4 linked regions of the Rhinolophus ferrumequinum genome follow. The protein of the gene in region 1 purifies or fractionates together with the protein of each later gene. This does not show direct contact. Links are inferred from orthologs where the notes say so. Each region holds a gene or a part of one and is shown on either strand. Other genes may lie near its edges. The genes, in order: SHC1, PRKCD, CRK and GAB2.

Region 1 (7,201 bases):
AGAGCCCTGCACTGGGCTGGAGAAGAAACACAAACAAATTTCCCTTTTATGTTCTTCAATTGAGAAGACAAGATACAAACTTGGAAGTTGTTTTAAGTATTATAGTTAAAACAGACTAGTGGAATGCCAACATTTGTAGAACCCTTTGTTTTCCATCCTTCTCCAATCTAGAATTAAGCATTTAGGATTTCTCAAATGCAAACTCTGTAGGGATTCCTTTCTTCACCAGCCTGGGCAAGCTCTATGTGCTTCCATCACAATCTGTACAGAGCACCTTTCTGAAATCAGTATTTCCAGATTTTTTCGGCTTGGCTTATCTTTGCACTTCAGGAGAACACCTGAAACCTGTAAGCACTCCGTAATGGCTTCCTAAATAGATCCCCTTCAGATATTTGAAGGGTATCGATTAGGTCCATGTGAAGTCTTTTCTCAATGTTCCTAGCCAGTTTTATGGCACTCCGTTCCTCGAAGTCCCCTTCCCTACACACGCCGGACAACCACGCCCCTTTTCCATGAATTAATGAGCAACACTCGGGCTTTCCTAACTCCCTTCCACTGAAGACGCGAGGAAAATTCGAGCTCCGCCTTTGCCACCTTTTCCTAGTAGGCTCTGGGATTCTACGGTGTTGCCGTAATACAAGCAGTTTCAAGAAGGCAAGGTCAACTTCCTCAATCAAGTTGCGAATGCTCCAGGCACCTCCAAGGTGACGGTGGTCAGCACGCACACTCTAACCACGCCTACCTCCGCCTCCCCCAAGTGCTCTCCCTCCAAATTCGCTCCCCCTGTTTCTTTCACCGCCGCCTCCGACCCTGCGTGCATGCGCCTTACGCTCTCAACTATCTCACACCCGTCCCGTTAATCTGCTGCGCATGCGCTGATTCTGTCGCTTCATTCCTGATTACTAACTCCTCGCGCCCTCACTTGTCAAACTCACGACCTCGTGATGGCCCCCGCGCCGGCACTAACCGGTACTCGAACTCCTCGTCGTCGTATTTGTCCGAATAGTAAATTTGTTTGTGCGCCATGATCGCTCTGTCTGAGGACCTTCAGCACCGCGCCGCCAACCTCCAAACAACTCCCAGCAGCACGCGCTCCCCACCCTCTTTGGCCTCACTTTCAAACACGCCGCCTGGGCTTCCTATTGGGCCCCTCGACTTAAGGCGGGACGACTCCACTTTCAAGCCTCCTATTGGCTTAGATTTGCTTCTCGTAGAGTCCTCATTGGAACGGACTCCTTGCGTTTCCCAAGAACGGGCTGAGGTCAAAAAGAGGCCTCTTATTGGCTAACACTGCTTTGTGCGCGTTCCCGCACTGCCATTGGCTGATTCGGGAAAGTGGGCCGGGTGAAGGAGGGACTGTGAGGTAGAGGGTCAGGGGTTAGCGAGGCCGGAAGTGAGTGCAATAAAGTTTCTCCTGGGAGGCCGGGCCCGGGGAGAAAGTTGGAGCAGCGACCTAAGGAGGTAGTGGCGTGATCCAGAACCAAATCAGCCCGCGGTGCGGTGCAGCGACTCCATGAGGCCCTGGTGAGTGGGGACTTTTTTTCTCCCTAGGTGACCCACTCCTCCACCCCGGAACCCCTCTCCCGGGACCCTACTTCCGGTCTTCATTTATAAGTCCCGCCCCCTGAGACCCCCTCCCCGGAAGTCCCACCTCCCAACTTCAGGGGCTCCCTGAACCCCGACTTGTCTTCTATTTATTGTCCCTGACCGCACCCTGTCACCCAGCTTTCCTGGAAGTCCCACCCCCTGACATGCTTCCAAGCCCTACTACAAGAAACCCCACGTTAGTCCTTCCAATTCCCCGAAACTCCGCCTCAGCGCGATGATTCTCCGCTAACTCCTGTCTATCAAAAAGCCTATCTTCCAAAAGGGCAAAGCCCTGCCCCTCAAATAACTACAGCATTCGAGTTCGTGAAGCCACGCCTCTCTAGGGGCTCCGCCCCCTACAAGTCCCGCCCCTTCCTTAATCCACGTCTGATTGTCCAGAAGCCTCGCCTCCTAGTAAGAAGTTTCCGAGGCTCGCGTCTTAGGGGACCACGCCCCCTCGGGAGGTTTATCCTGGTGGGACCCAGGGCTTCGCCTCCGACGCTTTGTCAGGAACTCCACTTGCTAACGTTTCCCTGTCCTTTTTCTCTTTTGGGCCTTAGGCTCAGTTTCCCTGAGCTGGCAGGCTCCGTGGGTGGGCAGTCCAAGTTCCCATCTCTGGCTCCGAGGGAGATTAGAGGCAGCCCCTTCCAAGGATGGACCTTCTTGAAGGGGGCTGGACTTGGGGTTTGGCACGAGGGTGGGAGACAGACTTGCTCCTAGATTCCTAGCCCCCCTCCCTGCGTTTCCCTTCCCAGAACTGACCCACCCCAGAAACAGCTGTTATGTTTTATACCTGTACCCCGCGCGGGATTTGGGGAGGGCCGTTTATTTCTTGTGGCAGGAGCGCAAGTTTGCTACCACCAGAGAAGGGTGTCTTGGAGTGGGTGTAGGGGACAGAGACCGTTTTGCTGTTTGATTTTTTTTTTTTTTTTTAAGGGGCTGCGCAGCCCCCACCACTCTGGCTCTTCCCCTCCCCCTAACTGGAGTTCTTGTCTGGGCATTCCTTCTGGTCCTGCTTGCCCAGCCTTCCCTTCTGGAAACATTCCTGAGGCTTTCGCCATTTCCTGCGACTTCCCGCCGCTCTCGTCTCCTCCTCCCTGCTGGGCCGGGGAGGCACTTGCAGCTTCTCCCCCACACCCCATCACCCAGACTCCCAGGAGGCAATCTCATTCCTATGCAGATTTAAAGAGCCCTACTTCCTCTTTCTTTTTCTCCAAATGCCCACACCTGTTGGTCATGCCCTGCGGGCACGTACAGGACGCCCATCGCTAAAGATGAGCAATCCTGCTGTGGGGGGGTGTGTGTGCACGCGCGCGCGCGCGTGTCGGGGGGGTGTGGGGTTATGGCTGAATCCTTTCCTTGCGCTCTGTGCCCGAGCTCTGAGCTGTAGCAAATGGAGTGTTAGAATTCCTTGTCAGGAGTGGTGGAATGACAGCGCGCTCCTCTGAGGAGGACTAAGGGCAGGGGAAAGAGCTTCGCACAGTATCCGACACGTTTTCAGTGCTAGTGTTGTTAGTTATTGTAATCATATGACTATTGGCACCTTTTTATCTTCTGAAGTAATTTAAAGATAGGTAATTCCATGGTGAGCCTGGGGGGTATGGGGATCTTACTTCTTTTCTGGTCACTTTCCAACTTCCTCTGTGGCTCCCTGGGCAGAGCTGTGGCAGGAAGCGGTGGGAGGAAGGAATGGCTTTGGGATCGGTGCCCTGTGTCCAGCCTCAGCGCATGGACCCTGGCACCCTTCTCCAGTACTTAAAACAGATTTAGCTTCTGCCCCCTTCTCCCTTCATGGTCTGTAGCCCCCACTTCTCTTGGAGAACTGTTTCATTCTCCCACCTCCTCCAGCCAAGCTGCACCCCTGATGTGAGGGGCACTGTGCTCCCTGGTGGACACGTGTACCCTCTTCGGAGGGTATGGCATACCTGGCAGGTGCAGGGAGCTGACCTTAGTGTCAGTGTCCTGCTTCCCCATCTACCCTTCATAGCCGGCTTTGCTAACGGGGGGACGGGCAGAAGAGTGCTTGGCGGTGGCCGGCTGGCGCTCCCTGGCATGGTAGGTGCCATGCACAGAGAACAAGACTCCAGCAGCCTGCCCTCTGCTCCAGCTCCTCTCCCTGCTGTACCACCCAGGGTGGACTTTATCCCCCTTACCTCACCAGCTGTGCCCTTCCTCCTGGCCCCTCTGCACCCCCGGGACCACTTCCTTCTTTCCCCATTTCTTTAGCTCCTGTCCACAGCTGTTGTAGCAGACCATGCTAAAGGCTCAGGCTCCCTGGGGCCACCACCCCACTGTCTGCTAGTGGTGGGGGGTGGCCTGGGCTGGAGAGAGGGGACTTTCAAGTGTTCAAGCTGGACAGGAAGGGAAATGCTGAGCTCAGGGATCCCCTCCCTTTTCCACCCCCAGCTGCCTCTGTTTCCTCCTTCATTCCCCACCACCCTCCCACAGCTTCCTGCTCCCTTTGGCCTGCCCGTGTCCGGTTTGGATTGATCCAGACCTTCTCTTATCCTCCTCCTTTCCTTCTCACTCCTTGGTCCTCCCCTCCCACCCCTCCTTTACTCCTCCCCAGATTACTAGTTGTTTGTATGGGTGCAGTGGTGGTGTGGGGGCTCATCCCTCAAGCCTGTGAGTCAGCAGTGTCCTCGGGATTGGTCCCTCGCATTGGCTCCCCGCCCCTGGGGAGGAGCCAGGCAGCTCTAGGTCCAGCCCGTTCTTCCCTCAGCCAGAGAAGAAGCTCCACGCTGGGCGGGGATGGGGCCGGCAACAGTCTGGGTCTGAGCTGGAGGAGCTGGAGAAGCCAGAGCCACTGGTCCCTCTCCCTCCTCAGAACCCTTGAGATCCCTGGGCCATAACGGGCCGATCGGGCCAAGGGCCTGGGGATGCCCCTGCCTGGCCCCCTTGCCCTGACCGGCAGGGGGGCCGGGCTGGGCAGCAGCCTCCCTCTCACTCCAGCCATGGATCTCCTGCCCCCCAAGCCCAAGTACAACCCACTTCGGAATGAGTCTCTGTCATCGCTGGAGGAGGGGGCTTCAGAGTCCACCCCACCGGAAGAGCTCCCCTCGCCGTCAGCCTCATCCCTGGGGCCCATCCTGCCACCTCTGCCTGCGGACGATAGTCCCACGACCCTGTGCTCCTTCTTCCCCCGGATGAGCAACCTGAAGCTGGCCAACCCGGCTGGGGGGCGCTCGGGGCCGAAGGGGGAGCCAGGCAGGGTGGCTGAGGATGAGGAGGGGGTCGTAGGGGCAGCCGTGCCAGACTCGGGCCCTCTGCCTCTCCTCCAGGACATGAACAAGCTGAGTGGAGGCGGCGGGCGCAGGACTCGGGTGGAAGGGGGCCAGCTGGGGGGCGAGGAGTGGACCCGCCACGGGAGCTTCGTCAATAAGCCCACGCGGGGCTGGCTGCACCCCAACGACAGAGTCATGGGACCCGGGGTTTCCTACTTGGTTCGGGTGAGTGAACGGCTCCCACTGCCTCCCAGACCCCCCCACCCGGTGCCTGCACTCACTCTGGCTGTGTGGGCGTCCCCGGCTCGTCCCCAGCAACTCCCGACTCCCGTGGGGGCAGTGCCCTGTTGCCTAAACCTGCCTGGCTCCTTCTCCAGTTCTGCAGCTCCTTCCCTCCCAGCTCTGCCTGGGCCCCCCTTCCCTCTTGTGACTCCCCCACGCCACCCTCACCCCTCCAGGCTTGGTACCTGCCCAGCCCATGGAGCACCTTTAGTGAGTGTTGGGATGAGTGACTCTTGATTGTTCCCTCCAGTCTGCTCCCCGTGTCTAGAGATGTCACTCCATTCCCGCCCCCCCACGCCTGTCACTCCTCCCAGAGGCCTCATGGCCTGCTAGCTCGCCCTTCCCCTCTCCTCATTGCCTGTTGTCTTGTGTGCTGTGGGCTGTGGCGGAGCCTCATCTGCACTGTCCTGAGGGACACGCAGAGAAAAGTCCCAGGCCCCTTTGGCCAGGGGTGGGCGCGGCGGCTGACACCCCCCTTCCCCTCAGTACATGGGCTGCGTGGAGGTCCTGCAGTCGATGCGAGCCCTGGACTTCAACACCCGCACTCAGGTCACCAGGTCAGTGCAGGGGGTGAGGGCTGGGGGCGCAGAAGGGGAGCCCGGGTGGGTCACTCGGTGCTGGTGCCAGTGACGGCTTATCTGTGGGTGGTAAAGGGGACTGAGAGAAAGTGAAGGGAGCGAGTCTTAAGTCTGAATGAAAAGAGGCAACTCTGGCCTGGATCCTTCTTACTCATCCAGCCTTGGCAGTTGTGGGGGGAGGTGGCAGAGGCAGCTGGCAGCTGGAGGTTGAGTAGAAAATGGGGGTAGATGGAAGGTTGCTGCTGCCTTTGGGAAGGGAGTGGGACATTTGGTAGCTGGAGGGGGTGGGGCCCGCCCATTGAGGCCCTAACCCAATCAGCCAGGAAGCGGCCTCTCAGTGTCATCAAATATTAAAGGCCCTTAATTCAATCCACCACGACAAAGAGCCTGGAGTGCCCCTGGAGTCTGGCCTGGCCTTCCCCTCCCCCAGCCCTGTGGCAGCCCCAGCCCAGTGGGAGGCAGGCTCTGGGTCTGAGCACCCCTCTTTCCCCAGGGAGGCCATCAGTCTGGTGTGTGAGGCTGTGCCAGGTGCTAAGGGGGCGACAAAAAGGAGAAAGGTACCCGGGGGCGAAGGGGCTGGGGGTGCTGTGGGAGGTGCAGAGGGGCTGGGCAAAGGCAAGTGTGGGGAGAAGGCCCACAGGCAGGAGTGGGGGCTTTCTGGGTGTTGGGAGCCCCCGGTTTCTGAGACCCTCGGGCCCTTCCTTAGCCCTGTGGCCGCCCGCTCAGTTCCATCCTGGGAAGGAGTAACCTGAAGTTTGCTGGGATGCCCATCACTCTCACCGTGTCCACCAGCAGCCTCAACCTCATGGCCGCGGACTGCAAGCAGGTAGCGCACAGGGGGCCAAGCGGGGGCCTGGCTGTGAGAGTGAGGGTCTAGGAAAGGGCTTGGGTGCAGCAGGACAGTGGGAAAGGAGATCAGGAGGATGTGGGGTAAGAAGCCCGAAGGATGAAATGGGGACTGCCGGTTTTGGGCCGGGTGCGGAGCGCTCAGCTCAGCCTGAGGCTGCCTGACACGTCATTCCCTTCCTTCTCCGCCCCCTGCCCTAACCCTCAGATCATTGCCAACCACCACATGCAATCTATCTCGTTTGCGTCCGGCGGGGACCCGGTGAGTTGGGGGACAGAGCAAAGATGGCGGGAAAAGAGTAAGGGACTGGTTGGGAAGACGGGCTCACGGAACGGGCATGCCAGGATGGAGGCTCCATCTGGAAAGCACTGGGATTGCGGGGTGAGGCGTGAGTGGGGCTACTCGATGTAGCTAACTGGCCTCTCCTGACTGTCCTCCCCAGGACACAGCCGAGTATGTCGCCTATGTGGCCAAAGACCCGGTGAATCAAAGAGGTGAGGCAGTGGGGAGCGGGGTGGGGCCGGCTGGCCGGGAGGCAGGTGAGCAGGACCCGGAGCCGAGCGGGGGCTCCTGTCCGTGCCTCCTCCCAGCACCCCTGCCTCAGGCTCACCGACAGCCTCTGCTGTGCCCCCAGCCTGCCACATCCTGGAGTGTCCCGAAGGGCTTGCTCAGGACGTCATCAG
Region 2 (7,437 bases), on another chromosome or scaffold:
GATCAGAGCAGAGGGGGTGCTGTTGCGTGGGGAATCCCTTGGGTCTGTGTGCGTCGGGATAGCTGTCGCTCCGTGACTGCCCCTTGGCACACCACCAACGCCCAAACTGCCTCTCCTTCAAACCTCTTTGCGGGGCTGCGGGTTAGGCAAGCCAGAAGAGGGGACTCAGAGGGGCAGGGGTTGTGCAGTGGTCAGTGTAGGACTGGGGCAGTCTGGGGGCTGCACACCTCCGTGGGAGCCCCAGGAAAGATCTGTGCCCTGCACTCCCAGAAAGTACCTTCCCTTTGTCTAACCCAAGTATTTCTCAAGCTTCACTCAAACACAAATGAGCCCCGGACGGAACTTGGGTAGGACCAACTCTTTGGCAGTTACACCAACATAGATTGAGCCTTGCACCAGAGCTTCATGAGCTTGATCTCTTCCATCCTCTCAACAAACCATCAGGACAACACAGTAGTACCTCGGTTTTTGAATGTCTCCGTTGAACATTTCGGTTTATGTATGCCATAAACCCGGGAGTAAATGCTTCGGTTTTCAAACACGCCTCAGAAGTCGAACATGTCATGCAGCTTCTGCTGAGTGCAAGATCCTGAAGCCTAGCTGTTGGCTGTTTTCAAACGTTTCAGAACTCGAACGTTCTTCCGGAACGGATTATGTTCGAAAACCGAGGTACCACTGTATTACTATTATTATCTCCAATCCACAGATGAGGAAGGTGAGGCACAGTTAAGTCACAGGTCCACGGCAGAGCTGGGATGTGAACCTGGACCCTGCAGCCCCTTGGCCTGGCACTTCCCTACCATGTGGCACTGCCCCCAAAGTCACTGCCCTCACTTGCCCCCTATCCAGTGCCCAAAGCCGAAATCCTTGCTCGTGACCATTTGGTGGCCTGAGGCATGGCCACTGACTGGTTGGACCATGTCCCAAATGCCCTTCTCTCCTGCTCTATCCGCAGTGGGACCTTCCAAGGCTCTGCTACCCCAGCAGTTACTCAGGCACACCATCCCTGCTGGCCTGCGCCTCCTTCTCCGGAAACATGAGCTCACTCTCCCTTGGCCAGGCCAGTGCTCTGGGTGTGATGGGGATGGTGCTGGCAGCCAAAGCTTCAGGGACAGGGATGGTAATACAGAGAAGCACAAACAGAGAGTAAGAGGCAGAAAGGCCAGGACAAGGACCAATTCTACACAGGGATCAAGTGGGGGACCCTATCCTGCCCATAGTTGGGCAGGCCCAAGCGATAGAGGGAGGTCCAGGCCTTTTCCAGGTTGCTTGGCTGAATCTGGAACTACCTGTAGAGGGGCTTGGTGGGGGGAGGCCCCCAGGTTCATGGCCTCTGGGTGGAGTAGGAGTTGCAGGTTGACCCTCCTCTGGACAAACCCTCCAGGGAGCCCCAGAGGAACAGCTCTGTGTGGATGCTGGGGTAGGAGTCTGAACACTACCCAGTGCTACCCCTGATGGGCCCATTTCCTTTGCAGCAAACCTGGAGGAGGAGAAAGGGAAAGTACCACTTCTGGGTGGCTGCTATGGGCCTAGCCCTACTTGGAGATTTATGCCCCATGTCACAAGAGGCTATCGAGGGCTCTTCCAAGGCTGACAGCCTGTGACTCAGCAAAGTGACCATACCTGGCCAATGTGAGCTGAGCCCTTAATGGGTGTCCACACATATCGTCTCACCTCACCTTTTACTCAACCCCTGACATGGGTCTGTCATCAGTCCCTTTCACAGTTGAGGACTCAGGATCAAAGAGGTGTTGTCACCTGCTCAAGATCATACAATTAGCATGCTGTCACACAGCCAAGGTTTGCACCCAGGCCTCAGCAGGCCCATCTAAGGTTGGGTCCAGGTAGGTTATGGGGGCACAAAGGCAAGCTCATCTGGATCTTGCACTGGCCCACCCAGTGTGGCACCTAAGAGCAGTTCCAGCATGCAGAGTGGCTCCAGCTGAGCTTGACCTGGATTCCTGGACCCCACAAATGCCTGTTCTCCCTGGGACTGTTGGTCCCACAGTTTGATTCTGGAGGGAAGCCCACCTGCATCCCTCCTCTGCCCTCATCATAGTGTGGGCTCTATAATCCTGAGGGCCAGGAAAGTGCTTCCTGGTGTCTAATTTAAATCGTTCTTGCTCCTGTCACACCAGCCCCACTCTAAAGCAATGGTTCTGAACAAGGGGTGATTTTTGGCGCCGAGGGGATATTTGGCAGTATCTGGAGACATTTTTATCTGTCACAATTTGAGGATGTGCTACTGGCATCTAGTGTAGAGGCCAAGGATGCAGCTAAACATCCTGCAATGCACAGGACAGTTCCCACAACAATGAGTTATCTGGCCCGAAAGTCAGTAGCGCTGAGATTGAGAACTCCTGAACTAAAACATGGGTTTTGGAGCCAGTTGGAATTCTGCCTCTGCCATTTACTAGCTGTGTACCCTTCACCAAGGGGCTTTATCTCTCTTTGAAAGACTCAATTTGCCCATCACCAAAAGTGGCACTCACTAATAGTGGCCCTCATCTTAAAGGGTCTTGAGGACCAAACAGATTCACACATTCAGTATCCAGCAAAGGGCCTGGCACCAGGGAAGCTCCGTCAGTGATAGCCATTATTCTTACTTTCCATTTTCCAAGGTGAACCTAAGGTGTGGGAATAAAAGTCTGGTGGCAGAACCTGGAGCTCCCCATGGGTCAGCCCTCCCCTTCGGTGGTCTCTGGCACTGGGTCAGCCTATTGTTGATGTTGTGGGAGAGGCTGGGTTGGCCACTGGATCTGGAGGGAGGAGCCAGAAAGGAAACTTGATCCCAGGTGGGCAAAAGTCACCTGGAGTCACCTTGACTCACCTTTTTCTCCAGCCCAACCCCAGGGAAGTCATGGGATTGGGGCGGGGAGACCAGGACACAAAACAGGCTAATGAATACATAGGAATACAGTTCCTTAGCTCAGGGAAATGCCATGGATTCACAGCTGGGCTCAGGGAGAGAAGCATTTAAGTGATCACAACCCAGACAGGTAGAGATATGGGGGTGGGTGGGAAATGGCATCGTGGCCCAGGGAACAGCATGTTCAAAGGTTTGGTTGTGAGGTAAGGCATAATGCCTATTTCCCAAATGACAGTCCAGTGTGGTGAGAGCAGTCCAGCTTGGTGGAAAGCTGGGTCTTCCTTCCCAGGTGTAGGGCACCAGGGCCCCCCTCTCTCTGTGGTGGGAAGAGTCATTGCAGTTTTTCTCTTTGCAGTCCAGACACTTCCCTTTGCCCCCGCCTGCACACACTTAAAACAGAATTTCAGGATCCACATCTCTCTTAGGGTTCTCAACATCCCCACCCGCTATTCACACAACCCTGTAAGGGACCCATCTTACCCAACCCAGGGTCTTCCCACCTGAAGAATGTGACAGCCCTTCTGCCCCATCCAGCCCCCTCCTTTCTCCTTCCCCTCTGTCCTATGATCGCCCCAGGAGCGCAATCCGTTGTAATAGCTGCCACCACCTGCTCCTTGAGAAGACTAAAGCCAGCTCAGGCCTCCTCAGGATTGCCCCACTCCCACCCCGAGTTTCATCCCTTACTCTTCAGCTGGGAAGAGCAGTCTGGACTCTTCTCATCCCCTCTAGAGGTTACCGCAGGAGGCCTGAGACCCGGAACCCTCTTCTATGCCTCTGGAAAGTGGCATTTCTTTGGAGTACAAAGCCAGCGGTTTGACTTTCTGAGCTTTGGAGGCAGAGGAAATGGACTCCCTGGACCCCACTCCGTCTCCAGACTTCAGCCCAGGGAATACTCAGTGAATGAATGAATGAACGAACGAATGAATGAGTTATGCCTGACAGCCAAGTTCCAAGTCTGGAAAGGAAGCTTAGGCGCCTACCCGGGGCGATGGAGAGCTCTGGAAAGCCCGGCCGGGAGAGCGGACCACTGGGGCATCGGGTTAGGGATCGCTCTCAGAAGGGTCTGACCAGCCGCAGACCAGCTAGAGCCTCCCGCCCTGGAGTCTTCCCAGCTCGTGTAGGGGCAGGGCCGGGACTAGCCGGCCTGGCGGCGGGCACCGAGCCCCGCCGCGTCTGCACTCCAGTCAACAGGAAGAGAAAGAGAGAGGCCTGGCGTGACTGGCCAGCAGGCTGGTGGGGAGTCCCGGGCGTGGGCGCCGGGATCTGGGGAACCCCCGCGGGCGCCTCCCGGCTTGCGTGCTTTGGGGTGGGGGCGGAGGTAACGCCCCCTCCGTCGGGCCTCAGCGTCCTCTGTATGATGCGGCCCCCTCTAAGGGCTGGTACGTGAGCTGATGGGAGACCGGGGTCGAGGTGTGAGGGGAGGGCAGAGAGGCCCAGACACTGAGTGACTCGAGCAGAGGCAGAGATGCTGGACCCCGGCTCCAGCGCGCGGAGGCGGGCCTTCGAGGGGCAGGCCCTGATCCGGGGGCGGGCCGGGGCCGGCACCTGGGTGAGGTCGCCCCGCCCCGCCCCCTTGTACTTCCGTGTGCAGCGGCGCGGGAGGCGGCGGCCCTGGGATCCCCGGAGCGACCCCCGGCACCCGCCGGTCGCGCCGAGGCGGGGACGGTACTTCACCCGCCGCCGGGCCCGTCCGGGTCTGGCCCCACCAAGACCCACGTCTGAGCGCACGCCCAGGAGCCGCGCCGGGAGCCGGACCCCAGCTGCCGCGACCCCTGGCGCCTGGCCCTGCGCTTGGAGGTGAGTGAGGGCCGGTTCCAAACGTGGGATCCGAGCTACCCCGAGGGCGCGCTGCCCCTCCCTTCCCCCTCCCCTCTCTGGTTCCCGTTTCCGAAACTGAGAAACTGATCCGCCGCCAGCGAAAGTGTCGCCGCGCCCCGGGACCCGCCGGTGCCTCCGTACCCCCGTCTGTCTGTCCCTCGGTTCAACGGTAGGGGCCGAGGCCCTCTTGTCCGTCAGCTCCCAGCCCCACTACCCGCCTGTGTCCCCATCTCCTTCGAAAGTCCACCCGTCCCTCCCGAATCTCTGGGGCCCTCTGTCCGTCCATCTGTCCCCACCCCCTCCCCCCGTCCGCCTCTCCCTGGTCTCTGTCTGTCTTTCACCCTTCGCATGCCCCTTCGCCCCACCCCCATCCCCCGCCGCCCCCTAGATCTCGTCCTCCGGGAGCCGCGTCCCCGGCCAGCGCTCGCCGCCCCTAGCCTGTCCCGCCGCCTCTCCTTTTCTACAGCGCGGCCCAAGCCTGGCGGTCCGCCGGGCCTCGCCTCCCGCCTCCCGGCCCTGGGTCCCAGCCCCGCCCGCGCGGTGCCTCCTCCTCGCTCTATCTCCTTTCAGTCTCTGTGTCTCTCGGTCTCTCCATCTGTCTCCGGGCTGGGCGTGGCTCGTCTCCATCACCCTCCCCTTCCCGTCTCGCCCTTTTGCTCCTTTGAGCCCCCTACCCTGGTGGCCTGTTCAAGGACTTGTCTGCCCCAGGCCCCTCCGCAATCCAGACACCACGCCTTTGGGGTCCCAGACCGGTGAGGGGAGACGGTGGAGGAAAGTGGGGTGAAGAAGGTGGGCACCTTCAGAAGTGCCCCACTTTCCCACCTCCCCCACTGAGCCCCCACTTAAAGCTGATCAGAAGGATTTGCTGTGAGTGGAGGGCTGACCCCCTTCTCCTCTGGCCCCTGCCCTGTATGTATGGATCCTGTCTTCGTGAGCTGGGTCGCTTGTATGTCTAAGCGTGTAAGTATGTTGTGTGTCTGTGTCCGCTTGGGTGTTCTTTGTCGCTGTGTTTGGAGCTTGCCCCTGTGAGTCCTGTTTCTCATGTATGATTTGCCTCTGTGTGTGTGTGTGTGTGTGTGTGTGTTGTGTGTATCTGTTTGGGTGTTCTGAAGCTCTGTGTGCCCTTTGCAACTATGTGTATACATCCCTGTGTGTTTGGAGGGTCCTATGTTGCACTGGGTGTGTCGTGGTGACCCACTGGCCCATGAGTATATTCAAGCTGTTAATTGTGGGAGCCCCGGTATTAGGGTTCCAGCCCACCAGGTTCATGTGTGTGTCTTTCTGAGTGTGTTGTGCGTGTGTGTGTGTGTGTGCGCGTGTACGCACACACACTCACATGTTGTGCTTCCTCTCCCTCTGCTACTGAGCCACTGTGATCAGGCTGACCAAGTCACCAAGAGAGGGGACTGTTCCATCAGGTTTCCTTGTTCCTGCTGTGAACTGAGTTGGGGTGTGGTGGACAGGCCAGCAGAGGGCAGCTGTGGAGAGAGAGAGTGTGAGTGTGAGTGTGTGTGTGTGTGTGTGTGTGTGTGTGATGTGGAGGTTTTGGGACAGCTATACCTGGCTGTAGGGTGTTGTATGGGATCTGGTGTATGACAGGACCGGAGCAGGGAGCAAGACGTGGTGTGGGCCTATGACTGGTGGGACACTCACAGTCTGACTGTATGAAACTGTGAGTCTGTGTGCTATGGGAGTAACTGTGCTTGTGGGGAACTGAGAGTGCTTGGGCGTGGGTGTCAGGAGCAAGAGGGGATGAAACAAGGTGTGTGGTGCCTGTGCCCTGGGGTGACAGTGTTGGGAGGAAAGGTGAGAGCCCCAGTGTGTGGGTGTGCACGCATCATGCTCTAGCCCGGCCCTGGCTCCTGGGGAGAGTAGGGAGACCTTCATTTCTCACCTTCCTCTACCCCCCCAAGTTGCCAGACACCAGAGGACAAGTCTTGGGGTTTGTAGTGTCATGACCAAGACCTTGGACTCTGAACCCAGAGAAGACCTGGGCTTAAAAGAGCAAGAGACCAGAGCTAGGCTTCTCTAAATCTCTTGCCTTATCTGCGGAATGGAGAAAGTTGATGACTAGAGGTCCTGTGTCACAGGTCCTTTAGCACAGCCTTAGCCCATAGTGAGAGCTCAGCACATGCTAAGTCTTATTTGGTGACCACCTCCCCCCAGTTGTATGGTCCCTATTCTCCTGGGAGCTGGGGCTAATAAAAGCCCAGATAGTCCCCCAACCCAGTATCCTCCCGGGGAATCTGTCTCTTGTCTGCCTCCCTTCCCTTTGACCAGGCAGCTTGTGGGAGGGAAGACGACTGACAGAAACCCTCCCAGCATCCAGCCCTGTTCATCCCACATGATGACACCCCTCCCCCCAGTCTCAGCAGCAGTGGTGGAGAGAGCGGTGAGGGGTGATTTGGAGCTGTGACTGCAGGGCACTGACACCATTTAGCTGGCACAGCTAATTGGAGTTTAAATTAAAATTAGAAGTAACTTAAAGTACAGACAAAAAGATAAAGCCTGAGGGTGTCTCGGTCCCCAGGGAATGGTGATGGGAATCTTCAGCTGGAGGAGGGGCTCACATCTGAAGAGGGGCATCTTTTGTGGAGGCCTGGCATGCAGAAAAAGTGCTCAGGTCTTTCAACCTGGACACCCAGGGCACCTTGCTGCCTTTGCTATTCCTTCCTTCCAGGAGCTCCCTGGGCCTCAGTTTCTTTTGGCTGTATAATGGGCACAATGGGTAATGTGAGAATCACTTCTAC
Region 3 (7,615 bases), on another chromosome or scaffold:
CCACCTTGAATACGGTGCTTGTCCCTGACCCCTTCTCTGCAGTAAGGAAAGGTATATTTGGATGTGTGCCTGCCAGGCCTGGGTCACGTGAATCACACCTGACCGCGGGGACCAAGAATGGCGGCAGATGACTTCTCAAAAGAAAATCGGTGTTGTCTCCAGAAGAAAGGGCATAAGTGGTGCAAGCTGCCACCATAGCACTCATCAGCAGATGGCTAAGAGTTTTCCCAAGCAGGAGGGGCGTTGCAAGCAGAAGGAATGGCAGGCCTTAATGGCAAGAAAATGTTTCGTTTGCGGTCAGGTTACCTGCTGAGTTTAGATTCATCACCTAGGGCAGAAGTTCTCAATGAATAAGATACCACAGCTTGGGCTTAACAAAGTCCTGTGAGCACACCTAGATTTTGACACCTCCCGCAAAATCAACTTATAGAAAAGTGAAAGCACCACAATATGCCCACTCTATCAGTGGTAACAGTGGCTCCAAGAAGCCAACAGATAAGATAAATACCGTGTTAGGTGCAATTACCAGCTTTACAACTGGAACATTCCTTTCGATAGCCAGTTAGTATGCATGGGGGAGTGATGTCATGGACAAACCCAGATGCAGCCAAGGACCCTGTTCTTTTGAGAGGTTAACCAAGACTGGCTGGCACCCCCAGCTCACATACTGCAGGAAGTACACTGCCCTCCAAGAGAGAGCTGCCAAATGTAGGAAGCTAATTTTGGCTCTACACAAGAGCCTCCACCCGACTCCATTTATTCATTCATTCCCTCACTCAACCAACATTTACTTAATGTGCCGGGCTCTCTGAGATAGGCTTGATACATGGGATATTGCAAGAACAAAAAAGAACAAAATCTCTGCTTTTATGGAGCTTATATTCTAGAAGGGAAGAGAGGACAATACATAAAACAAATACGTAAAACAAACAATGGGTTAGAGCGAGGTAAGTGCTAGGAAAATAAATAAAGCAGAGAAGGGGGAGAGGGAGAGTTGTGTGTGCAGTTTGCAGTTTCAAATGGACTGGAGACGACGGAAGGCCTCGGTGAGAGGGCAACACTGGAACAGGGACCTGAAGCCGGTGACTGTGGATTTCCAGCAGAGGGAACAGCAAGTTTTTCTCAAAGCATGGCAGCTTGTTAAAGAAAAAGGAAGAAGGTCCGAGGGGCCTGGAGAGGAATGAGCAGAGTGAGGAGACAGGGAGAGAACATAGGTGCATTTCCATCTCACCTCTCTCAGATGTTCTTGATTTTCTCAGTTCCTTGAGGACCGAGTCAAGGAACTTGGCACCTGCTCCTGGATTCCTCCCTGCAAAAGGCTTCTGTGTGAGCAGCTCTCCTGAAGGATGGGGGCAAGGAGGGGGTTTACGTTGCAGCCAAGCAGACAACTCATTCTCAGTGTCCTACAGGATGTTGCCATTGGGAACATCTCACTGACCTTTCCGGGAAGGTCTGGCCTCCTGCCTTGGTTCCCAGCACATTCTCCTCCTCTAGACTCTCCTTGGAGTCCTCTCACATTTCTCCCCAGAGCTTTCCCCTGGTGTCTGCCTCCAGATCTTATCTTTGCACATGTTAAGACTGGTTCTCCTCTTTGCACAACTAAGGGCTACCCACTGGGGGTGGGGCATCCTTCTTTTTCACAGTCTACAAACTCCAGCGGAGACTTGGAAATGTCTCTGTCTCCTTTGTCTCTCCCCCCCATATGTAAATGAGAACAGGGCAGACGTGTATTTTCCCACTAATACAAACTTTGTCTACACACACTAACCCACTTTTCTCTCTTTTTCACAAGCACTTTGGAAAGGAATACTGTCAGTTTTCCCTCTGAATAATAATTTTTGTTATCTTGATACAAATAATCTTTCTGCTTGCCTGTGTTAAAAGAAAAAGTGGGTATGAATAGCCCAGTTCCAGACGGCCCCATTTATGTAGCACCCTGCAGTTGGGCCGTGCACAAGCTGCATAGCTGAATGAGGCAACTCTGGTCACTTTAGGTAACACAGAGCAGGCAGGCGAGCAGGTTGTTGATTTCCTGCTCCTCCATTGCTAAAATAGGGAATGCCTCTCTTTGGTTAGGAGGATCGGGAATGGAGGATTTTGGTGCGTTTTTCTCTTAAACAGGGCAGACTTCCCTTTTCCCCCCTTTTCACCTGTTTCTCCTTCGGGTACTTTCCCCATCCTCCCACACCACCCAACACCAGGAGCCCTTCCTAAGCAAGAAGATCACATTCTTTGTAGGGCAGGTCTCAGGCTTGTGGGGGGGGAGGGGGGACAAAAGGTGCCATTATTGCTGGAAATCTTGACGTATGAAGGGGAGAGGAGGAGAAGAGAAAGGAGGGAGGAGCAGCGTGGGCTTGCCTTTTGCTTGTCCCAAGGCCACTCCTGCTCCCACCTTATTGACCTCTGAATTAGTAGATTCTCTGTGCTCCAAGGAAGAACACACTGAGTAGCTGCTTGGGGCTGTGGCTCCCCTCCTTGCCAATCTCATTTCTTATTTTCCAGCTCAGTTACGATTTGTCCTTCTTTTCTTCCTTCTTTCATTCCTTCCTCTTTCTCTCTGCCTCTCTCTCCCTCTTTCTTCTTTGTATTTTTTTTTTTTTTTAAAGAGGGTGCAGCTCACAGTGGTCCATGTGGGGATCAAACCAGCCACCTTGGTGTTGTTAGCACCATGCTCTAACCAACTGAGCTAACCGGCCACCCCTCTTTCGTCTTTTAAAGTATTTTTCCCCATCATACCCATGTATCCTAGGGAAGGGGCTTAGAGGCATGGCTTCGGAACCTCACAGGTAGTCTCTGGGTAAGGTTCTGCCTCAAAGCCTGGCAATCCTGGGAAATGAAGAGCAGGCACTTCTCTTTCCCAGAGGGCCAGAATTCACACGGGGCTGCTTCTGCTGCTGGCTTGTAGTGACCTGCTGTGACTAAGCCAGGGTCATGATGAGTCATCCACAACAGGGAAGGTGCCCTTGCTCCACTCCCCTTCCCAGGCAGGACCAGGGGTGTGTGACGTGTGTCCAGAAGAAGTGCGTTATTCATGTAAGACCATAACCCAGCGCTGACTAATTCTTTTTTTTTAATGTCTATTTCCACCATCCTCTCCCTTCCTGCCACTCCCACCGTTCCTATCTCAGACATCTGAGGATATAGCAAAGTGACCATAGCTCTCTTCCAGGATTTGAATCTCAGCTCCCCATTCAGCAGCTGTGTGTCTTTGGACAAGTTACTCAACCTCTCTCAGCTTCATCTGTAAAATGAGGATAGTTGTAAAATACCAACCCATAAGGTTGTTGACAGGATTAAACGAGATGATCCTCATAAAAGCAGCACTATGTCTGGCATCTAGTGAATAATATGAATAAATGTTAGCCATTATTATGTAACATTTATGGGGATGCTTGGCCTTCAAAGAACTCTAGCACGGAACACAGACAGACCTGTAAATGAAAGATTACGGTACACTGGGTAAGAACTATAATGGAGATAATATAACAGAAACATAGTGCTGCCATGCAGAGAGGGAGTGATGTGGTGGTCAGGAAAGGGGGGGGGGCATTTGAGTTTGAGATCCCAAAAGGAGTGGAAGGTCAATCCAGAAAGAAGTAACACAGGGTTCATGGAAAAGTAATTGAGACTGTGGCCCACTTTTATGCTGTGAGCTAAACTGGGAGTTTTAACACCTGGAGAGTGTTAAAAGTTTGTGATTTAGGAAGAGAACACTGGCAGCTGTGAGCACCAATGAGCAAGCTGTTCACAGGAATATAGATATAGATATGGAATGTAGAGACAGAGATGGTCATGATGGCAGGGAGAGTGGAGGACACTCATGGCCAAAATTAGGGTTTAGAAGAATCTGATAGGATGACTTGAGAGCCTCAATGGAGAGGACAACTTCATACTTCTACCTGGCTTGGCATACTCTGTTCCCTTTGTCTTGAATGCCCTTCCCCCTTGTCATTCAATATTCAGGTCATGCCACCTCCTCTGGGAAGCCCTCTTGGATCTCTTTACAGATTGGATTAGGGGGCCCGGCTCTGTGTTCTTAGAACTTCTGTCTGTTCCCGATCATAGCATTTGGCATTCCTTTGTCATTGACTGTTTCCTGGTTCCTCACTGGTGAATTTGGCAAGGGTAGGACTCAGCCTTGATCACCTTTGTACCCACAGGGCAAATGTGTCAATAACCGTTTGCTGAATGACTCAATGAAAACAAGAGCTTTAGGTAGCCTGGGGAGGGAGAAGCTGGAGGAAGTGTCAGAAAAAGACCGTCTCAGGTAGCTGAGTCCGTGGGTCCATATCATCTTTTCTATTCCAATTCTGTCTCGGAGTCGCTGCCTTGAAGTCCTGGGCATTCCAGTAACTTGAAGCCTGGTGGAGCGAAGAAGAATCGAGTAGCCAACAGCAGACACAGACTTCTGTGGATGGCTGGTTGAGGCCCAACCCCCTTGGCCTGGACTCCGCCTCTCCATCCTCTGCAGTCCCGGTCCCCGCCAGGGGGCGACGCCCATGAGACCGCATGCGCAATACGCGCGCGAGCCGTCCCTTGCCCTTCTCCCAATGGCGGGCGGAGGTCCCTTTCCCGGCATCCTCCCGAGGGCAGGGAGCGCGTCATTTCCGGTGGGGAAGGCCCGCGGCCGCCGCCGCCATTTCGGGCGCTGCTGTGAAGCTGAGACCTGAGCCGGTCCGCTGGGCGGCGGGCGCCGGGGCTGGAGGGGCGCGCGCGGCGGCGGCCCAGCGTGTAGGCACGGAGGCAGCCATGGCGGGCAACTTCGACTCGGAGGAGCGGAGTAGCTGGTACTGGGGGCGGTTGAGCCGGCAGGAGGCAGTGGCGCTGTTGCAGGGCCAACGGCACGGGGTGTTCCTGGTGCGGGACTCGAGCACCAGCCCCGGGGACTATGTGCTCAGCGTCTCCGAGAACTCGCGCGTCTCCCACTACATCATCAACAGCAGCGGCCCGCGCCCACCGTTGCCACCGTCGCCCGCCCAGCCTCCGCCCGGTGAGGGACGGACAGGACGGGAGGCCCCGGGCGGGGGTGAGGGCCGTGGAACTCCCCAGCCTTGCCGGCTGCTCCTCGCGAGCTGATCCCCACGAAGGACGTGGACAGAGGGCTGGTGTGATCGTGGCAGGGGGCGGCTTGCTGCTGGGGCTGGTTCCCACAGACCAGCGGGAGTGTGGGGGAGGAGGAGCCGCTGACCCAGGCCTCTGGGTGTGACTTGGAAGGACAGCCCAGGGGAAGGGGAACTGCTTCGGCCCCAGGGTGGGGCTAGCGCCTGGGCCAGGCACAAGGGCAGGGCCAGGCAACGTGGGGACAAAGAGCTGAGGGGAATGTTGGCACTGCGGGGGCATCACTTGGCAGCGGTGCCCAGAATGAATCCGATAATCCTACAAGTGGCTTTTTAGGCTTGAAACATTTCCTGCCATGCTAGGAAGCCGGGTTTGGCTATACTCCCCTGGTGGCCTTTGGTAGGAAGTCACCACATACTGGCCTGGAGGGATGGAGACACCCTTCAGGAAACCGCTCAGCTTTTTCCTTTCTTGGGCATTTTTCCAAAAGATTTTTACCGTCCTCTTCCCTCGCGGAGGACGAAGGTGGTGAGCTCAGTGCCTTGGTGATAGATGGCCCTGTATGGCCAGCCCAGAATAAGTGGATGCCTGGATGACTGTACCCAAGAGATCTTAGTGTCCAGAAGACTGCCCTCCGCAATTCGGGGGCTCTATTTCTCAGTGTTTAGTGGAGGAAAGATTTTTGTTTTCTTTCATGAAATAAACCAGAAATAAGCCAATGGAAACAATCCCTTCTCTGAAAGTGAACGGAACTTCATTTTTCCTGGGACTTAAGCATTGTCAGTCTTGTACTTGAGGGCCTCTTCTTGCCCAGTAAGTTGGGGCTGTGATCTGAGTCTTTCTAGATATTGGGAACAGACCTTGCTGGGTAGATGCTCTGAGAATTTAAATGATCAGCACTGAGTCTTCCTTGCCAAGGATGGATGCGATATGACTGTCTTACCCCTGCCATTGGAGTTGTTGGGGGAATATTAGGGACATTTATGCACTTAGTGCTTGCGCTTTGGGAGGGACAGAGTGACTCTGAGGTGACCGTTACCTGTGTTAACAGCACCAAGAAGAGTCCTTGTGCCTTCTCACTGTTCCCAAATTGAAGCACTTGCCTCTTGACCAGCTAAGACCAAGCCAGTCTCAAGTAAATTAGGAGGCTCCTGAGCCCAGCTTTGCAGACTTACCCTTTTAGGATTGTCTTAATTTAGATTTATATACTCTGGCCAGAAATGGGGAGAAAGGATAGTCAGTCTGTTAGTTCTTAACATAAACCAAGTTTAAAAAGAGTGTGAAACCAAGTTTAAAAAGAGTGTGGGATCTTTAAGTACACAAATTATCCTAGGTCTTTCTCAGTCTGGTTGGTTTAATAGCATTATAACATGAGATGGAAATATTGATGTAACATTTGCCCTATACCAGCGATAGTCTACTTTTTACCACATGCATGGTATCTAGGGGTTTTTGTTACAGTGCGGTGATACGATGGCAAATTGTCACTGAAACTCAATTTTCAACCTTGTTTGTATATGTGTTTTATTGGTTGCAAAATTTGGAAATGGCGGCAGGCAGGTTTCTTAGTTTGAGCTCTCTCCACACCTAGGCATTATGATTTTATATCTCAGTGTTTGATATTGAGCTCCACCTTTTCATAACAGAGGAGTTCAGATCCTTGGCCCAAGAGAGAAGGTAAAGATTGCCACAGTTTGTCGATGGGGTGTGGAAAGTTCATGGGCATTGTGGTAATTCTTTCTGCCATGGACCCTATTTTACATGTAGGGCAGGTGGTTCGGTTGCTCTCTTTATAAAGGCTACTTAATCTTTTTTCTGACCTTCCCCCATCAAGCTCTTTTTCCTTTGAAACCACACAGGAATTTCTTGAATTTCAGAAAGGCATATACAATATTAATAGCTAACATTTACTGACTGGCTGTTCTATGCTACGTACTTGGCCGAGCACTTTATGTGCCTTACCTTATTTACTATCTGTAACAATCTAGTGAGGAATGTCCTGGGATCTCCATTTATTAAAATATTTCCACTTGATAGATGAGGAAACTGAGAATCAGTCAATTGCTTGGTCACACAACTTGTAAATATTGAGCTAGAATTCGAACCTGGGAATTCTGACCTGAGAGCTGACACTATTACACTGTATTCCTTTCTGTCAAAGCCAGTTTACTTGTGAGGTCCCAGCAGTGTTGTACATAGAGGACTCAACATATTTGTCTCTGTACTGGGGTCCCAGGTTCTGCCTGAAGACCAAAAGAAAAGGATGGCAAGAAGAAACTGGCTTTGGTGTTCAGACAGTACACATCTGTCTAAAATCAATGATGAAGAGGCTTTTAAACTCCTACTTATTTGGAAAAGTAAATATGGGAAATGGGAGCTTTTTTGCTTAGGGTAATATAATGTATTTTGTGGGCATGATACCTAGGTAGAATGTGTGGCTTAGATACGGTTTTTAGAGGCTTAGGGATAAAATTGACCAGGAATTCTCAACGTTTTATTTATTTTTTAAAGATTTTATTGGAGAAGGGGAACAGGACTTTATTAGGGAACAGTGTGT
Region 4 (6,899 bases), on another chromosome or scaffold:
ACTTTGAGTCAGGGGACTTGATTTTTCCAGCTTTGCTAGTATCGTGTGTGGGTACAAGGGGTTAAGTGCTAGAGCTCCTCCAGGACTGTCACAGTGAAGCCAGATATCAGATAAACCATAAGTGATTTCATGCTTAGTCCCAGAGAGGAGGGTGTATGGGTAGTCTGTAGAACAGGGTCAGGGATTGGAAACCAAGAATTAACATAGTTAGCTCTCTGGAGCCTGGGGGTAGAAGTCAAAAGGTCTAAGGAGCCATTGTTTTTGCTACTACCCAAGAGTTTTAACCATCTTTTAAAAATGAAAGTGCACAGGATTACCTCCACCTGCTCAGCCCTTCCCACCAAGCCAGTCCCTGTGGGTTTAAACACTCCAGCTGCTTATGAAGACCTCCACAGGTGCTCCTCCCTGGGTTGCATGGATCAGACAGTTCCAGATGCTCACTGGTGCCCACACGTTATCCTTCAAGGGTTGGTTCCTTTATTCTCAGAACAAATATTTAATGAATATCTATTGTGTGCCTGGCACCATGCTGGGAGGCTCCAAGGAAACAGATATTTGCAGTCCAGTGTGACAACTCAATTTATGTAAGTGTAGTGTGGATCTAAGAAAAGAATGAACAACTATGCTCGGAAATGAGGATGTTGAGTTTTAGGGAATGGGGTCTTGACCTATGTTCAAGATCTAATTCAAGGGTCCATTGTGCCAAGTATGGTGTGGAGTATGCACACTCCCCAGGGACCTTGACAGACTTTGTTCTTGGGAGAATATGATAACTGATATTGCAGCAGGATCTGTGAACACTGATTTTGCCACCCCACTAATGTCAGTAGAAATGTCCCAGGAGCCTAACTGCCCCAAAGTAGTTAACACAGGTTCTGGTTCTTTACAAAGGAAAATTAGGAAGCTGGACTTGCTCAAACTTTTCTCTTTAAGAAGTTTATTTCCAAAATGTCTCCCACGGGGTGTAATGGCAAGTATCAGACTGTTTGGCAGCCGCAGACAGGGAGGGAACCCAATGAGGTCTTCAACCACACCCCAAGCCCACTTCCAGATCTCTGTCCCAACCAGATGCCAGAAGTTGATCTGAGAAGGTCAGAATAACTTGGTGGACGGAACCAAGTGGGCTCAGAGCACCCAGAGGTTAAAGAAGTGCAAACCTCAACATGCCTGAGAGACAAGTGTCATCAAAGTCACCAGCCAAGGTGACTCAGCCGGCCACATTGACCTTGGCCAGCAGCACTCAGCTCTGAAATTAACCTGTCAACTAAATTGAAGAGGAGAAAAGGCAGAAGCTCTAGGACACAAGCATCCATCCCCACCCCCAGTGCAATCACTGACGTCAGCCCTGGCGTGGGTGGGATTAATCACACCAGCTTGGTGTGCAGTTGAGGACAGCTCTCCTTCCAGTCCTTCCAACCCGTTTCTGGGAGCATTCTGCCAACCATGCACCTGCCGCTGGCCACAAACCCTCAACGCCCAGACAGGCACGGATGCAGGCTGTGGCTGACGACACACAAAGCCACAGTGCACCCTTTAGAACCCAGGCTTTGGCGGGGGGTGGGGAGCAAACGTGGTGCCCATGCTTCCCTCCCAGGTGTGCATTTGTCTAATCTCTTCAATGTTCCCTCCAGAGAAACCCTCCCCACGAGATGGTCATTTCCTGGGGATTTAATGAGAATATAGAATTAATGACCCAGAGCACCCCTTGCAGCCGGTCATTAATTCCTCCAGGAAATACCCGTGGTCTGTAATCAAAATTGCCTCAATTACAGACTAGTGGTGCATGTCCTCACAGGTTGGGGGGCTGTCATCCCAATTGGTTCCAATAGATGGCGCTTAGTTTCATGTCAATGAACCACTCAATTTGTTTTCCATTTCTCCCCAGCGAAAGGCAGGGAGCATTTAAAAAAATAAATAAATAAATAAATCAGGGAGTGGAGAGGACTTAGTTAGGGCCCAGGCAGGAACGTTCTGTCCGAGGTCTGTTTCCAGACCTGGCACGCACCTCAGGCTCAGAAGACGGGAGCCACACCAGGGTACAGCCAGGGACCTCAGCACTCCGCAGTCCTGCCTCCTATGTGCAGCCTAAGCTGGGCACTGGCAGTTTAGCAATGAAAAAGGTAGGGTAGCTGCAAACAAACCATGCAGACTACTCAGGCTCTGCAATCCCAGGGACTTGGCACCATGACTCAGATGTCAATGAAGTCAGAAGTTGCTTTATTTTGGTTGGGAGTCACTGCCTCCTGATTGATTTGGCAGACTTGAGTATTTTGATATGTTTCACAGGGTTTTAAAGTACAGGATTTTAAAGACAGAGGTTAAAAATGGTCATAGTTCTGGTGGTGGCCCTTGTATGTGACTAAAGAATCCCTAAATTGGAAGGTTACGGGAGCTCTGGTCCCAGCTATAGCCTGATAGTTCTGGCTTTGCATTCAATCCAGCAGCACACTAATAGTGAAAAAAGTCAGTGAAATGTTGGCTCCAGGGGAGCAGATTTCTAAACCTCCCAAAGTAAAACCTCCCAGGATCTGTAAAACCAGAAGGGTGTCCAAATGTTTGCAACAACTAGCTTTGCTGCAGTTAGGAAATGAACAAAACAGCCTTCCTCTAAAGTACAGGGAGTGCAAGATGCTGCTTCTCGCACTCACCTGCCCACAGCACAGTTCCCTGTTTGTATAGTGGGTTACTCTTATCTAAGAAGTTGGGGGAGGACCTACCTTTTAATATTGCTTGTGAAGGTACATTGTGAGTGGGAAAGAGCCCCTACCAAAGGTTTCCCCCCTCCACACTCCCCCTGAAATGTGGGGTAGTCTAGTGTGTGCTTCCACAGACTTCATTCATATCATATAAACTTCACCACAATGCAGTGAGAGAGGTACCATTATATCCCAATTTTTATACGAACGCCAGAGCTTTCTCATAACCTGTGTCAATAAGTTGGATTGCTGTGGAATTTTGACCCAATTCCTTATTCTACACCACCTTGCCTTCCAATTCACTATGAACTACATTGACTTATTTTTACTTCCTTGTTTCTGCAAATATGAATTTTCTTTCACTAAATTGTTTTTCCCAGAAGCAGTGAAGGAGCCAGCTGGACTTTATTTCCTGGTAGATAAAAGGCCCCCAAGTAGATCTGCATACATTAAAGCCACTCCCCCACTTTAAAAAGCAGACGAGCAGGACCACCCCATACCCCCAGAATTCGAAACTTGGCTCTGCGTCGCACAGGCTTTGGGACTTTATCTGTAAAATGGGAAGAATACTGCCCGCCGGATTTGTAGACTCGTCAAGACAATCATGTAAACAAGGAAAGAAAAGCACCCAACACACAGTATAGCAGTCTGTTTTTATCATTCCTTCTCCCGCCAAGGGGGTGCGAGAGTTAAAGAAACTGTTGCTGGGAAGCGGATCACTAATTTCAGCCAGAACCTGACCCACTGAAACCTGAAACTCTGGGAATGGATAGGAAACTCGAGCAGCCCTCGGGTCCCTTCCTGACGACCCTCTGTGAAAAATCGATTCGAGATGAAGGGCGCGCAACCCCTTCCCTGCACCCCACCCCCACCCCCACTCCTACTAGGGGCGCGGCCGCCTCCCCCGCACGCTGCCGGAGGCTTCGGGAATAAAACAAGACGGGGTCGGGGGGAGTCGGGCAGCGCGGCCGGCTGCAGGCTTCGGCGCCCTCCCGAACCTCGGGCCTCTCGGGTCCGAAGACGCGAGGCGGTGTTTTCCTCTAGGAAGCCTGCCGGCCGGGGGCGCGGCGGGCTGTGGGCGTGGCGAGCGCGCGCCACCGTTCTAGTAGCGCCCCCACCGCGGCCGGGCTGGGAGTGCGCACGGGCGCGCGCGGGGAGAGCGGGCGCGCGCGGCAGCCGTGCCCGCGCCGCGCCGCCTCGCCTCATCCTCACCCGGCGGCCGCGGGACGCCCCGGCCCCTCCCCTCCCCCGCGAGCTGCGCACCGCCTGCCCGCTGACCCAGCCGCCGGCGCCCGCGCCCTTGTGCTCCCGACCCCGCGGTGGGCTCCAGGCGACCGACAGCATGAGCGGCGGCGGCGACGTTGTGTGCACCGGCTGGCTGAGGAAATCGCCCCCTGAGAAGAAGTTGAGGCGCTATGTGAGTGCGGGCGGTTGGCGGGCGCGGCCGCGGAGGGCGCGGGCGGGGGGCGCCCCGCGGCCTACAGAGGGGCTGGGGGCTCCGGGAGGGGCCGTGCGGACGGGGAGGGCGGACCCCGGGGCCTCCGGGGGCCGAGGATCGGCCGGCGCGCCTCGCGCCTCGGGTCTGTGTGGGGCACCTGCACACCTGTCACAGGTGCGCCGCCGAGGGGCGGGGCGGGCGGGCAGGTGGAAGCTGCGGCTCTCTCTCCGCGGGGCGGCAGCGCCTCCCCAGCCGGCCTCCCTGTAAACTACATACAGTATTGAAGTTTGTATTGATTGTTTTTGGAGAGCTAGGAGTTGATTCCCGGAGCTGGGGGACGGTAGTAACCCAGAGCGGCTTCCGCCTGCAAGGTTGGGGGAGTGGGCGGGAAAGGGGGGCGTAGGCTGTGGGTCGGTGTCGTGCGGCCCCACAAAGGGCGAGGCGCCTCACACCCTTTCCCCATTCCCTGCCTCTGCTCGCCCCTCCCGGTGGCCGCCTGCTTCCTTCCAGTCGGGTCTCTGCATCATGGGCAGCGTCAGCGGCATGTGCAGCCCTTGTACTAAGTGACTCATTTGTTTGTCCCCCTTCTTTCCCTTTATTCTGTATGTCTCTCACATACATACCGCCGCCCCCCCAACTCCTCGATGGTGACACTGCAGTTTGCTCTGCTATAACTGGCCCTGGTTTTTGTGTTGTGCAGTCCTGGGTGTCTGGGGTCGAGAGAGATCAAGGTTCTCAGTTGCCAGGTGGTGCTAACCGACAGTGTTTACTGAAATTGCTGGGACAGCCACTCCCTCCCTTCTAGGTGCAAAACGGGCAGCATCATGGGAAAGGTGGTACAGTCTGGTGCTGAGCGGTGAGGAGGTCTGGCTCCCTCCTGCCCTCCACCCAAAACAAAAAGCAAAACAAAAACAAGACGCCTTGCTTGGTGGGGTCAAAGTACAAGCTGGTGCCAATTACTGAGATTTGGCTAACATCAGCTCTGGGCTGTGAGCAGGAGTTTGGAAATAGAAGTAAGGTCGCCAAAACGTGTCAAGGTCTCCCATCCTTTTTCCCTCTTCACTTCCTATGAAATGTCCTTGTTAAACTGACTAGTAGTGCTGGACTGTCTGGGATCGTTCCCACAGCATGGAAGTGAGCTAGCTGTTGCATTCCAGCTGCAGTGCATCAAGGGAGCTCTGAATAGACCCTGCCCTCTGTCAGCTGCACCAGTGGCTGTCCATGGGGGGAGAGGCAGAAGCTTACCAGAGTTTCCTGTCTTGGCTCCCCAGATCAGAACCAAGGGACTTCTGGCCTCTGGATTGAGGAAGTGACATTCTGTTTTTCAAAGGAAGTGTTGTTGTTGGGGAGTGCAAATGTATGTGTATGTACGTACATGAAATCAGGCTCTTATTTATATCATTTGCTGGGAAAGCATTTGAAGGATTTAGCACGGGACTTTTGAAAGTGGACATAGATTTAAAATATAGTAGGAATGTGGCAATGAAGTATTCATCTCAGTTTTAAAGCTCATTTTCAGGGGTGTCCATGTAGCCAAAGAATGAATTATAATTGCTAAGAAACTTTTCTACTCTTCAGGGTTGTATCAGTTCATTAGGAAAGGTGAATTTTTATATTAGGTTAAGGAACAGTAATTTACTACTAATATTTTTGTAAATATAAAAAACAAAAACAGGGGCCGCCCGGTGGCTCACTTGGTTAGAGCGTGAGCTCTTAACAAGGTTGCCGGTTCAATTCCCACCTGGGATGGTGGGCTGCGCCCCTTGCAACTAAGATTGAAAACGGACTGGACTTGGAGCTGAGCTCTACCCTCCACGACTAGACTGAAGGACAACGACTTGACTTGGAGCTGATAGGTCCTGGAGAAACACACTGTTCCCCAATATTCCCTAATAAAAAAATTTTTTTAATAAATTAAAAAAAAGAGTTTTAAAAAAAAATCTTTGGCCCTCAAAGAGCTTCTGAAAACTATGAAAAGTGTAAGACCATACCAGCTAGTAGAATAAAGTATCCAGTAAAAATGTGACTGTTAATTGTCAAATTAGAACTCTCTCCCCAAGAACCTTGAAACTTTATTTTTGAAACAGTTTGCAAACAATTTGATATTGTATCTACATTTGACCAATGACTACTTCATTTCTATCACCCAGACTCTGTGACCCATTTCTTGGGTATTTTTGTTTCCAAAAAAAAAAAAAAAACACAAAAATAACTTCACCTCAAAATAACCAAGCTTGGAGGCTTTTGGATCAGGCACCTTTTTTACCCATACCTCATTTTATTGTGCTTTGCTTTGTTGCACTACACAGGGGTTGTGTTTTTACAAATGGAAGACAAGACCTCCACCAGCAAAAAGATTATAATTCGCTTTACTGAGAACCTAACTTGATTGCAACACTCGCTTTATTGTGGTGGTCTGGAACCAAACCCGCATTATCTCCGAGGTACGTCTGTACATACTTGACACCCTGCAGTCATGCGATGACCTCAGCCTCCTTCCCATCTTCCCCACAGCTCTATCCCATACGGCGTCTGACCAAACTAACAGCTTTTCTTAGGCCACGAAGTGATGTGTCCCATTGGTGTGACTGGAAGTCTCCTTTACTATGGACGTGTGGTTCTCCTACTGAAAACTGAGCTGATCTGTGTAACCCTAAACTCTTGAGGAACCGTCTGCTTTTATATCTTCTTTTCTTTTTAGGTACTGAGAATTTTTGCACCCAGTTTTGAGTTAGAATTCTGCCAGTTCCCTCTGTTCACTAGAG

What was found.
Region 2: the proteins of SHC1 (region 1) and PRKCD purify together in Homo sapiens (affinity purification with mass spectrometry; 3 studies listed by BioGRID and IntAct, with this or other methods). This does not show direct contact. The link is inferred for Rhinolophus ferrumequinum from reciprocal best matches to the Homo sapiens genes SHC1 and PRKCD.
Region 3: the proteins of SHC1 (region 1) and CRK purify together in Homo sapiens (affinity purification with western blotting; 3 studies listed by BioGRID and IntAct, with this or other methods). This does not show direct contact. The link is inferred for Rhinolophus ferrumequinum from reciprocal best matches to the Homo sapiens genes SHC1 and CRK.
Region 4: the proteins of SHC1 (region 1) and GAB2 purify together in Homo sapiens (affinity purification with western blotting; 6 studies listed by BioGRID and IntAct, with this or other methods). This does not show direct contact. The link is inferred for Rhinolophus ferrumequinum from reciprocal best matches to the Homo sapiens genes SHC1 and GAB2.

The regions. Positions count from the first base shown.
Region 1 is NC_046305.1:73,064-80,264, reverse strand, and holds the start of SHC1 (SHC-transforming protein 1), read left to right. Parts: upstream 1-4,199; 5' UTR 4,200-4,466; coding exon 4,467-5,036; intron 5,037-5,579; coding exon 5,580-5,650; intron 5,651-6,164; coding exon 6,165-6,228; intron 6,229-6,377; coding exon 6,378-6,497; intron 6,498-6,725; coding exon 6,726-6,779; intron 6,780-6,960; coding exon 6,961-7,012; intron 7,013-7,152; coding exon 7,153-7,201. Other genes in the region: CKS1B (cyclin-dependent kinases regulatory subunit 1), read right to left, coding at 923-1,026. UniProt on the Homo sapiens protein: Signaling adapter that couples activated growth factor receptors to signaling pathways. Participates in a signaling cascade initiated by activated KIT and KITLG/SCF.
Region 2 is NC_046300.1:48,622,551-48,629,987, forward strand, and holds the start of PRKCD (protein kinase C delta type), read left to right. Parts: upstream 1-4,430; 5' UTR 4,431-4,666; intron 4,667-4,833; exon of another isoform or gene 4,834-4,856; intron 4,857-7,437.
Region 3 is NC_046304.1:16,424,480-16,432,094, forward strand, and holds the start of CRK (adapter molecule crk), read left to right. Parts: upstream 1-4,599; 5' UTR 4,600-4,749; coding exon 4,750-4,990; intron 4,991-7,615. UniProt on the Homo sapiens protein: Involved in cell branching and adhesion mediated by BCAR1-CRK-RAPGEF1 signaling and activation of RAP1.
Region 4 is NC_046294.1:52,507,085-52,513,983, reverse strand, and holds the start of GAB2 (GRB2-associated-binding protein 2), read left to right. Parts: upstream 1-3,897; 5' UTR 3,898-4,038; coding exon 4,039-4,113; intron 4,114-6,899. UniProt on the Homo sapiens protein: Adapter protein which acts downstream of several membrane receptors including cytokine, antigen, hormone, cell matrix and growth factor receptors to regulate multiple signaling pathways.